Regions from separate parts of the Mus musculus genome. Here regions 1 and 2 are each reported to be linked to region 3. The links are microRNA targets in miRTarBase. Many come from high-throughput screens and were not tested one by one. Region 3 holds a microRNA gene; each other region holds the end of a gene's coding sequence.
Evidence for each region. The annotated mature microRNA mmu-miR-1930-5p reads ACCUCCAUAGUACCUGCAGCGU and lies in region 3 at 1,222-1,243, shown strand. An mRNA with a match to its seed (bases 2 to 7 or 8) in the 3' UTR can be bound and repressed. Matches are read on the target gene's strand: a 7mer-m8 pairs with bases 2 to 8, a 7mer-A1 pairs with bases 2 to 7 and ends in A, and an 8mer does both.

Region 1: the mRNA of 9430038I01Rik is a reported target of mmu-miR-1930-5p. Seed matches in the 3' UTR shown: 7mer-m8 at 735-741.
Region 2: the mRNA of Ebna1bp2 is a reported target of mmu-miR-1930-5p. Seed matches in the 3' UTR shown: 7mer-A1 at 1,059-1,065.

The regions. Positions count from the first base shown.
Region 1 is chr7:137,373,712-137,376,966 of GRCm38, reverse strand. 9430038I01Rik (RIKEN cDNA 9430038I01 gene) reads left to right here. Exons shown (of 4, transcript NM_029886.2): 4 at 616-1,398. The coding sequence ends at 645. Among named protein-coding and RNA genes, the nearest start is that of 9430038I01Rik, 35 kb to the left of the region's middle.
Region 2 is chr4:118,625,381-118,628,635 of GRCm38, reverse strand. It overlaps Ebna1bp2 (EBNA1 binding protein 2), which reads right to left. Exons shown (of 9, transcript NM_026932.4): 8 at 2,951-3,113; 9 at 860-2,816. The coding sequence ends at 2,766. It overlaps D4Ertd617e (DNA segment, Chr 4, ERATO Doi 617, expressed), which reads right to left and starts at 2,232. Exons shown (of 3, transcript NR_029469.1): 1 at 1,630-2,232.
Region 3 is chr10:77,640,015-77,643,269 of GRCm38, forward strand. Mir1930 (microRNA 1930) reads left to right here and starts at 1,210; the gene lies at 1,210-1,293. It overlaps Ube2g2 (ubiquitin-conjugating enzyme E2G 2), which reads left to right. Exons shown (of 6, transcript NM_019803.3): 4 at 1,446-1,564.

The sequences.
Region 1 (3,255 bases), not on the chromosome of region 3:
AAGCCACACTGCGTGTGTTTCGAATCCTGATTTGGTATTCTGACAGCATGTTTAAAATTTTTATTTTATGACAGGCTGAGTGATATTTTCATTCTTTTTCTGCAAGTAATAGAGGATGCACCATGTGTTTAGACTGTTCTTTGTGGGAGTAGGGATACTTTAATACCTTAGCTACAGTGTAGGGATATTAATAAATATATAAGTTATGACTTAGAAGCCATTCTTTATAAGCACAAGCCAGGCCTGTACAGAAGTATCATTTCTGTAACCCCAGTACTCCAGAGGTGGTATACAGCAGCTAGCCTGTTTACTATGTGTATGTGTGTGTGTGTCTCTCCCCCTCCCCTGATAATATAGTAGTGATTACTATTATCTTATTTTTGAGACAGGGTCTCACTGTGAAGGCCAGGTTGGCCTGGAACTTACTCTGTAGCACAGGCTGGCTATGCTCTTGTGTGTGGATGCTTCACATGTGTGGGGATTATAAGCCTATGTCATCACACCCAAGCTAGCCCAGTTATTATAGTGTTCTCTGTGTTGGTGAATATCTAACTGAAGCCTGTTATTGAATGTAGAGTGAATTAATGCTCACAGTGTGTTCTTTTACCATTGCAGGGCCATTTTAATCATACCGACAATCATTAGAAGATGCAAATGGGGCTGGTGAGATGGCTCAGCGGTTAAGAGCGCAGACTGTTCTTCCTAAGGTCCTGAGTTCAAATACCAGCAACCACATGGAGGCTCACAACCATCTGTAATGAGATCTGACACCCTCTTCTGGAGTGCCTGGAGACAGCTACAATGTACTTACGTACAATAAATAGATAAATATTAAAAATAAAATAAAATAAAAAAATAAAAAAGAAGATGCAAATGGGACGAAGGAGGATGCCAGTTGAATTTGAATCCTCACTTGATGGCCAGTGCATATCCCTTACAGCTTGCCTGGGTGCCCACCTGTCCAAATGACAGTCAGGGCTCCCTGCAGAGGTTTTCTGCCTCTTAGGTAATCCCACTGTCCTCTGCAGAAGGCCAGGGACATCCTGAGTGGGATGGCTCATTGCAGCCTCTTTTGTAATGTCTTCTGCTGGACAGGAAATTATCTAGAAGTCAGAACGTTCTGTACCAAACTGCCTGGAGGTTCTGGATCCTCGCAGCTCTCGTAGTCATTGGGCGCAGCCGGAGATCTCCCTGCCTGTGGACTATGGGTTGCTTCTGGACGTTGCTGGGCTGCTCAGTGCTCTTTTTAATTAAAAGACTTATTTTTGTATTTTAAATGCTTTATGATCTTGATGTGAATTTTATTAAATGTTGATGTCCAATCAAGCTATGTAATTCTCCAGCTGAAGTTATCAGGGACAGAACCCCATTTATATTAAAATGGAAATTGTGGACAGCTGTCTGGCTTGGTGTGTTGTGTAACTCTGGAGACTGGCCTTGTTTTCCCCGGATCAGGAAGCTTCCAGAGTGGAGGTCCTACAGAAATGACTGGATTATAGAACTGATTTCATCGTCTTTAACTGGAAACTGGAAGTGGGCCCCAGCCCTGTCTTCCATGTGTCCATAATGTTCTTTACAGGGCTGTGGTCCCTGCCAGGAACACATGGAAGAACCCAGTCTATACTAACCCAGATGTGTGGTCATGATGAGGCCCACACTGCAGAACTGAGACAGGGGAAACCAAGCTGCTGGAACTAGTGTGATGCTGTGTGTGAGGGAGACGCTCCGACATCACAGGACATAGCCGTTAAACCATGGAAGAAGCTAGCACTGCAGCCGACTTAGACACGACAGCCATGCCCAAGCAGCCAAGACAGAGCCAGGCTGTGGTTTGTGGCCTTAAAATAGTGGGCGAAGGTGGTGGTTGTTTAGTTTTTCTCAAAAATGACACTAATTTTTTTTTTAATCACACAGCACTTTATACAGGTATTGTAAGCAGTAGGCATTCACATCTCCACGTGAACAATGGCCCGGGAAGCATGGCCCACCAGGCCCATGTCCCCGGTGAGTGTTCCCAAGGCTCTGCTGCCCTGGTGGCCCTGGCACAGCACAGGTGACACTAATTTTTATAAACAAATGGAAACCTCCTAAGCTCCCATTTATTTCCATCTGTAAACTCTGCCTCCATATTCATTAAAAGGGATGTTCATATTTTTGTGCTAGACGTTTTTGTGCTTCCAGAAGCACACAGATCACCCAGGCTGTGAACCTAGCAGTCCCTCTGACCATCATCTAGCCCATGAGACACATTGCTGCTCCATGCTAGAACCCAGCAGAATCTGATTCTGTCTTCTGTCTACTGAAAGTGCCATGAGTGACCTTAAAACTTTAAAAAAAATTAAATTCAGTGTGTGTGTGTGTGCATGTTTGTGTGTCTGCGTGTATATGCGTATGTGTGTCCCCAGAATATGTGTGGAAGTCAGAAGACAACTTGCTGGAGCCAGTTCTCTCTTTTCACCATGTGGGACCTGGAGATCAAACTCCAGGCTTGGCAGCAAGCACCGTCACCCACTGACTCATCTCTCCAGCCCAAGAAGTTCTTTAAGCCTCTTTCTTCTCATCTGTGTTGGATGGTGGTGGCACATGGGATTTTCCATCAGCATGGAAAGCAGCATGTTCAGTCGGCCTGGGGAATCTCCTGTGAGAGCCATTTTCCCTGCTGCATGTCCCTCTATATCCCTTTTCTTCTATGAAGCCAAGCCAGGGGAGATTATCAAGAGAAAAGAGCCAGAGGGTGGGTGAGGTGGGCCAGCTTGTGTTTCATCTGAGATGCCTGGAATTCTAGACTGCATGGAGCAAGAACACTGAAGAGGTGGCACTGGGCAACACATGGGCTCTCCTGGCTTCTTCCCTTTAGAAACAAGCGGGGCTGTGACATCCCAGACTTTCTGCCTTCCCTGTTGACAGCAGGAATCCACCTGTAGCTGTACTAGCCTCGGGGAGTAGCAGAGCTTGGCATTGCTTCTTCCACTGGCTCTGCCACCTTCACCATCCTCGCCCTCACCTCGACCCCACTTGCCCAGTTCTATAAGTATCTCTTCATGACTGGGACCACTGGTCCTTGGACCCAACCTCTCTCTTATAGACCATGCCGCTGTGAGGGTGTAGGGATAGAGAGCATTTGGGTAATATCTTGTTTTAAAAAAGTCTCTGTATGAGTATAAAACAATTCGTGGCAGAGGGACAGGGAGATCACGGGTGTCAGTGGCCTGAAGCAGCTTGGGGTCTAACAAAATGTCACCTAAGTGTCGTTCA
Region 2 (3,255 bases), not on the chromosome of region 3:
TTCCTAATCTCAATATGTTCCACACAGAACTCAAAGCTTCTACTTCTGCAGCTCCCACTGGGCTGATGAGGTTACACTACACCCCAGAGTGCTGTCAACTGTTAATATCAGGTCTTCTGAAAACACAACAGTGCCACCAGAACTTAGCCGAAATGAGATCAAAACTATTTGCTTCTAGAAATTCACTAGCATATAAAACCACAACTGTCTCATGTGTGCACCCGCATGCCATAAGAAAACATGAAAATCTTCTTAGTAATACATGTGGTTCTTATTTTCAACTTTCTTAAAAACAAAGCATGATTTCAGGAGCAAAGAGGAGAGCAGAGACAAGCTGGTTACTACCCCATTTAGCAGCAGGACCCAGAGGGGCCACACAGCACACCTGCAGTCTCTCATAAGCACCTCAGCATCTCCAACCCAACCAGCAAGGCTCAGCAGACATTACGGAAAGCTGCCCCTGTATCCAGACCCCATCTGCCCCCCAGGGGCTCACATGCTGAAGGTACACAATCCTTTAAGTGATGAGATGAGGGGGTCCTTTAAGAGATGAGTCCTAGGGGCAGGTATTAGGTCCCAGGAGCATTGACATTGGTGGAGTTGGTACCTGTGTCACAAATTTTGTTCCTACAAAAGCAAGTTAAACAAGGCTGGCCCCACAACCTCTGCTTGCTGTAAGACCTACCATCATCATGCCACCGCTGCTCTCGTCTGAAGGCACTACCATTCTGGACCTAAACTGACCAAAGCTGAGGTAAATAACCCTTCTTTATGAAGTACTTCAACTCAGGTATTTTGATAGAGCAACAAAGTAGTGTTTTAGGGTTTGCATTGCTGTGAACAGACATCATGACCAACCTCTTATAAGCACAACATTTATTTCATTGGGGCTGGATGACAGGTTCAGAGATTCAGTCCTTTATCATCAAGGTGGAGCATGAGAGTCCAGGCAAGCATTGCACCGCTGAGAGTTCTACATCTTCATCTGAAGGCTGCTAGAAGACTGGCTCCCATCTGGTTAGGAGGAGGGTCTCATTGCCCACCCCCAGTGACACACTTCCTCCAACAAGGCCACACCTAATAGTGCCACTCCCAGGGCCAAGAATATGCAAACCATCACAGGTATATTACTACAAAACCCCAGCAGAATAAATCCCAAATGAGGGACTGCTTAAGGATATAGAATATAGGGTTATACCTTAATTGTGAAGTGGGCAGTGTTTAACGTGAGAAAGGGAGACAGGGTAGAGAGAGCCATAAAAACTGAGTGTCTACAGCACAGAGGCAGGTCTGCCTAATACACAGCCATCTGCCCTTTTAGAAGCAGGAAGCTCTGGGCACCGGCAGTGAGAACGAGATACAAACGCCCATTACCTTGACTGATCACCATCAACACTGTACACATATACACTATAGCCATTAACACTAAAGTGCTGCATCTGAATGGGGATGCCAGCAAGCCTACAATCCCAGCACTAGGAGGCAGAGGGAGGGGGAGCAGTTTGAGGCCAGCTTGGGCTACAGTTTGAGAATGTCTCAAAACAAAATGTAATTTGGAGCCAAATGTCCAAGGAAGAAAACAGTTCAAACAGGATGAAGGGAACAGAAGAAAATATTCTCAAAACTTACCATTCCCATCCAGGAAACATCAGGACACTGTAACTGTGGGAAAGCACAAGTTCCTGAGATGATAAAATGGCAGAGAGGGGTTACTAGGCAGATAAAAGCCTGAATCTGTCACATAAAGTGGCACACAGCTTTAATCCCAACACTCCGGAGGCAGAGGCAGGGGCAGGCAATGTCTGTTGTGTTTGAGGACACCCGGTCTACAAAGTGAGTTCCAGGACAGCCAGGGCTAAACCAAGAAACCCTGTCTTGAAAAACAATATATTTTTTAAAACCTGAATCTTTCTAAATAGCCTAATCAAAGAATAAATACCAGCCCAGAAAGCAGAGCACCATACATAGGCTTCCACTGTCAGAAAAGCTTAGGAGGGAAGGACGGGAATGAGAAGCCCCACGGTCCTCATGGCCAAGGGAGGCAGCAGGACCCTGCCTGTAGCCCTCGCATCTTAAGCCACAATTCATACCAGTCAAATTAAAGTCGCTTTCAGAATAGGAGGTGGAAATTTTTCCTGTTTCCTTTCTTTAAAAGATCTTAAAAATGGAACACAACAAAAGGCATAAAATAAGAAAGGAAAATACCAGGCACAGGAAGTAAGGGACCAATCTAGATGGCCTAAAACAGAGACCATGTAACAGTTTATGGCAGACCCGGGCTCTCACAGGAACCTGCCACAGCCAGTCCTCCCGGGGGACTAATGTAAAAGGGCATCTGGGAGACGAAGAAACGGTAAGGTGGAGGCCCGCCCTGCAGCTACCAAAAGAGAGGCATGGCCAACAAACACTAAGATTCTTTTGGTTTGGATTTTGGGTTTGTTTTTTCCAAGAAAGGGCATCTCTCTGTGGCCCTGGCTGTCCCAAACTCCCTCTGTAGACCAAGCTGGCCTTGAACTCAACAGAGATCTCCTGCCTCTGCCTCCCAAGTGCTGGGATTACAGGTGTGCACCACAACAGCCCAACAGCAGCAATACTCTTTAATGTGCAAACTTCTCCATCTTTTAAAAAGTATCTGGTTTTAACCCAAGAGTATCTTTCTTCCATAAGTTTAATTTATTAAAATAATTTTCTACAAAAAGCAGGACAAACACTGAGTGTGCTGTACACCCCCCTTCTCCTGGGTTCTTTATAGAAGATGATGCTACTCAGCGGGCTTTACTCTTCAGTTTCTGTCTTGCTCGTTTTCCGGGTCTCTTCTGCACAAACAAAACAAAAACCATATGTTGTCACACACAGCACTTGGCCTTCTGTGCCAGGGTGAGGAGTCAAGGGGAGTAGAAAGGGGGTTGAGAAGATACTAATCAGGCCCCAACTTGGACCCCTCACTTACATTTGCCCCTTTCTTCCCAGGCCTCCTGGAGCCCTTGCCGTGAGCCACCTTGGCTCGGAAGCTGGAGACATCGTCGTAGCTCTCTTTCGTGTTCCATTTGGAGCCTTTCTTCTTTCCACCAAAACCAAACTTCTGATTTTTGTATCTTCGTTTGGCATTAGGCCTGAAAAAGGTGGCCCCACAGACAGTACACTGTAAACCCCATGAGCCTTATAGCTGGGTGACAGCCACAGGTTCATCTCTGCAGTCCTTAAGGCTCTCCTTGGCTTATATTTTTACTCTACAAACCACCCAGGCAAACTCAT
Region 3 (3,255 bases):
TATTTTGTATTTCTTAAATGTATATGTGCATCTGTATGGGTGTATACATGTGTCTCTTAAGTGCAAGTGCCCGCAGCTGCCAGCAGAGTTGGAGCCTCCTGAAGCCAGAGCCAAAGTGGTTACAAACTCTCCACTGTAGTGCTGAGACTCAGACTCAAGTCCCCTGCAGAGTAGTGGGTGCCTTCTCAACAGCTGAGCCACCCTCCCGTCCTGGCTCGCCTTGGGTTTTGGTTTTGTTTTGAGACAATTTTATCTTGTGTAGACCAGGTTGCTCTAGACACTAGGCTTCACTACATCCAGATAAGTTTGTATGTTTAGAAAGTCTTTTCTAGTAAGTAAAGATGACTTTTGAATCAATATCTTATTTCCTCTCCATTTGGTATCTTCAATCTCTGTGGAACTGTGGATCTAACATGGATCCTGTCTGTGGAAATCCTGTGGGAAGGTCTTTCTGTTTTAGATCTGCTTAGACAGGGAAGCAGAGTTCTTTATTTTTTAAACATATATTTTAATTTTTAAATTTTTTTCTATGCTGCTTATGCTGGTCTCCAACTTTAGATCCTCCTGTTCCTGCCTCGACAGTGTGGCTGTTGAGTCAGGTGTGCCTCCCTGCCTACTTTGCTGTTGATGCGGGGCCTGGGTCTCTCAGGCAGTGTGAGTGGTGCAGGGCCAGTTTTTACTGCTGTGCTGGCTGTTGCAAGATGATCTCACCCATGCTAATGCAGGAAGCTTATAGCCAGGATTCCTGCCCTACTGACTTTTTATAGTGAACAGTGTCCACGGTCTCCTGAACTGCTGACGTGGGTCACATTAGTAAGGTTTGGACTGGAGGGGTGGGTGTCTGGCAGCATCCCACCCATTCCTAGGTCCCTGCCGCCAGGTCTCAGTCAGCATCCCCGTCTCTAGGACTTGAGCAGGACTTCTGTGATGGCTTGGCCCATTTCTGTTATTTACACAGAAGACATGGATGGTGCAGATTGGAGTCTTAGGGTCTGGTGGGACTGCTGTGGCCTTAGGCTGCTTGTGCATTGAGCATGAGTTGAGGATCACATGTGTGCCCTATCCGTTCTAAAAGTCACACCTTAGACATAATTGAAAATTCAAAATGTCCTTTGATCTATATTCCGTAGCTCCTCATCTGTGTGCATAGTCTTCTTGATTACCGTCTGCCAGAATTGACACCTTGAGTCCTCATAGGAGCTGGACCACATGCCCACGGTCACCTCCATAGTACCTGCAGCGTGCTTGACTTTCTCTATGGTGCAGTTACTGTGGCTGTGGCTGTGTTCGTGCCTCAGACTGAAAAGGACTGAGATGGACTCTCCAGGGAGAGAAAGCAGCAGTCCTTTAGATTGTTCATGCACCATTTTAGGCCGTGGTAGTATCCCTCTTGCACATCTGAGTTGTGGCTGGCATTGCAAATGTGTCTCTTTCCTGATTTTCAGGGGCCCTGAAGACACTTGTTTTGAGTTTGGTGTTTTTCCCGCCATCCTGAGTTTCCCACTTGACTACCCCTTGAGCCCTCCGAAGATGAGATTCACCTGTGAGATGTTCCATCCCAACAGTAAGTGTGTCTAAATGAGGTTGACAGGCAACAGAGTGCCAGCCACACTGTTAATTAAGAACGGCAGGGAGGGCCTGCAGGCACAGGGCTCTCAACTCTAAGCTGTGACCAGTGAGTTACGGTGTGAGCACCAGGACTGCCGCTTTGAGGTCAGCTTAATGTAGAGGGGAAATGCACACACTTAACACTGTGTTAATGGGCTTACTAGAATTTTGAGGCCGTGAGTGCTTTGTGTCCTACATTGGCCTTTGTCACAGTGTCATTTTAATGGCGGACATTTGGAGTTGGGCTAGAGAGGTGGCTTAGTGGTTTAGAGCACTTGCTGCTCTTGCAGAGGACCCAGCACCCACATTGTTGCTCACACCTGAGGCTCCTGGGAATCTGGTCCCTCTGCTCGCCTCTCTGGAGCCAGGCTGTCGTACACAGACATGTACACAGCAAAACAGCCCAGTGGTCCTACCGCAGAGCAGAGGGCACACTGTAGTTAGCCTGCATGTAGGCACCGAGGACATGTTAGGAATTCCTAGACAAACAGTTCCTGTCACTCAGGCTTGGAATGGAGCACTTGTGCTGTGTTGAGTGGGAAGTAGGTGAGGACTCACTGGTACTCTGGAGTTCCATCTCTGCCTGGAAGGGACCATAATACTGTCCGCGACTATGCCCTGATTGGGAGTAGGGGTTTCTTTCTTCCTTTTACTAGTAGCTATTATACATAAGAGAGGTTTGATGGAGAGTTTAAATTACTCAGGATGGCCTTGAACTCCTGATCTTCCTGTCTGTCTCCCAAGTGCTGACTTCCATGCACGTTTGCCCAAGCCAAACTTACCTAAGAGAAATGGACAGTGGTGGTGTATTTTCAATGATGGCATTTAGGATAATGTTTCTTTTTATAAATGTTTTTCTTTTTCTTTATTTTTTTATTATTTATTTATTTATTTTTGGTTTTTCGAGACAGGGTTTTTCTATGTAGCCTTGGCTATTCTGGAACTCACTCTGTAGACCAGGCTGGCCTCGAACTCAGAAATTTGCCTGCCTCTGCCTCCCAAGTGCTGGGATTAAAGGTGTGCACCACCACCGCCCATTATAAATGTTTTTCATTGCCACTGATAATCCTGATCTTTTTGCCTATGGAGCTGAAATTCAAGTAGGATATTCTATTTTGTAAAAATAAAACATTTACTTATTTGACACCAGGGTTTTTTTTATATGTATATATCAATTTTATTTTATGTGTATGGGTTTTTTGCCTGCAAGTGTGTCTTTATATAACAGACAGAGGCCAGAAGACTGAGTCAGATCCCCTGAGTTGGAGTTAAGGATGATTCTGAGCCATCGTGTGGGTGCTGGGAATTGAACTCTGGCCGAGCTGCCTCTCCAGCCCAAATGGATGTCTTTGTATTTTGTAAAAATAATTTTGAGCTGGGTGGCTCTGGTGCACATGCCCCCCCTTTCTCCGCACCTAAGGAGTTCAGTTGTCTTGCTTCTGCTCTAGCTACACGGACATGGACTTCGGTGGTGGGGGTGGCTCTGCCACCTGAGTTAGGGATGTCTAAACACCTGCTCTGCAGGGCCCCGTGAGGGATCTTACTCGCTGGGAACTTGAGTTTGGAATATTTGTCCATACATCTTTCACTTCCTCCTTTTAGTGATAATGCCTAGAGAAATATGTAATAAGGTAGAATTCAGTTGCA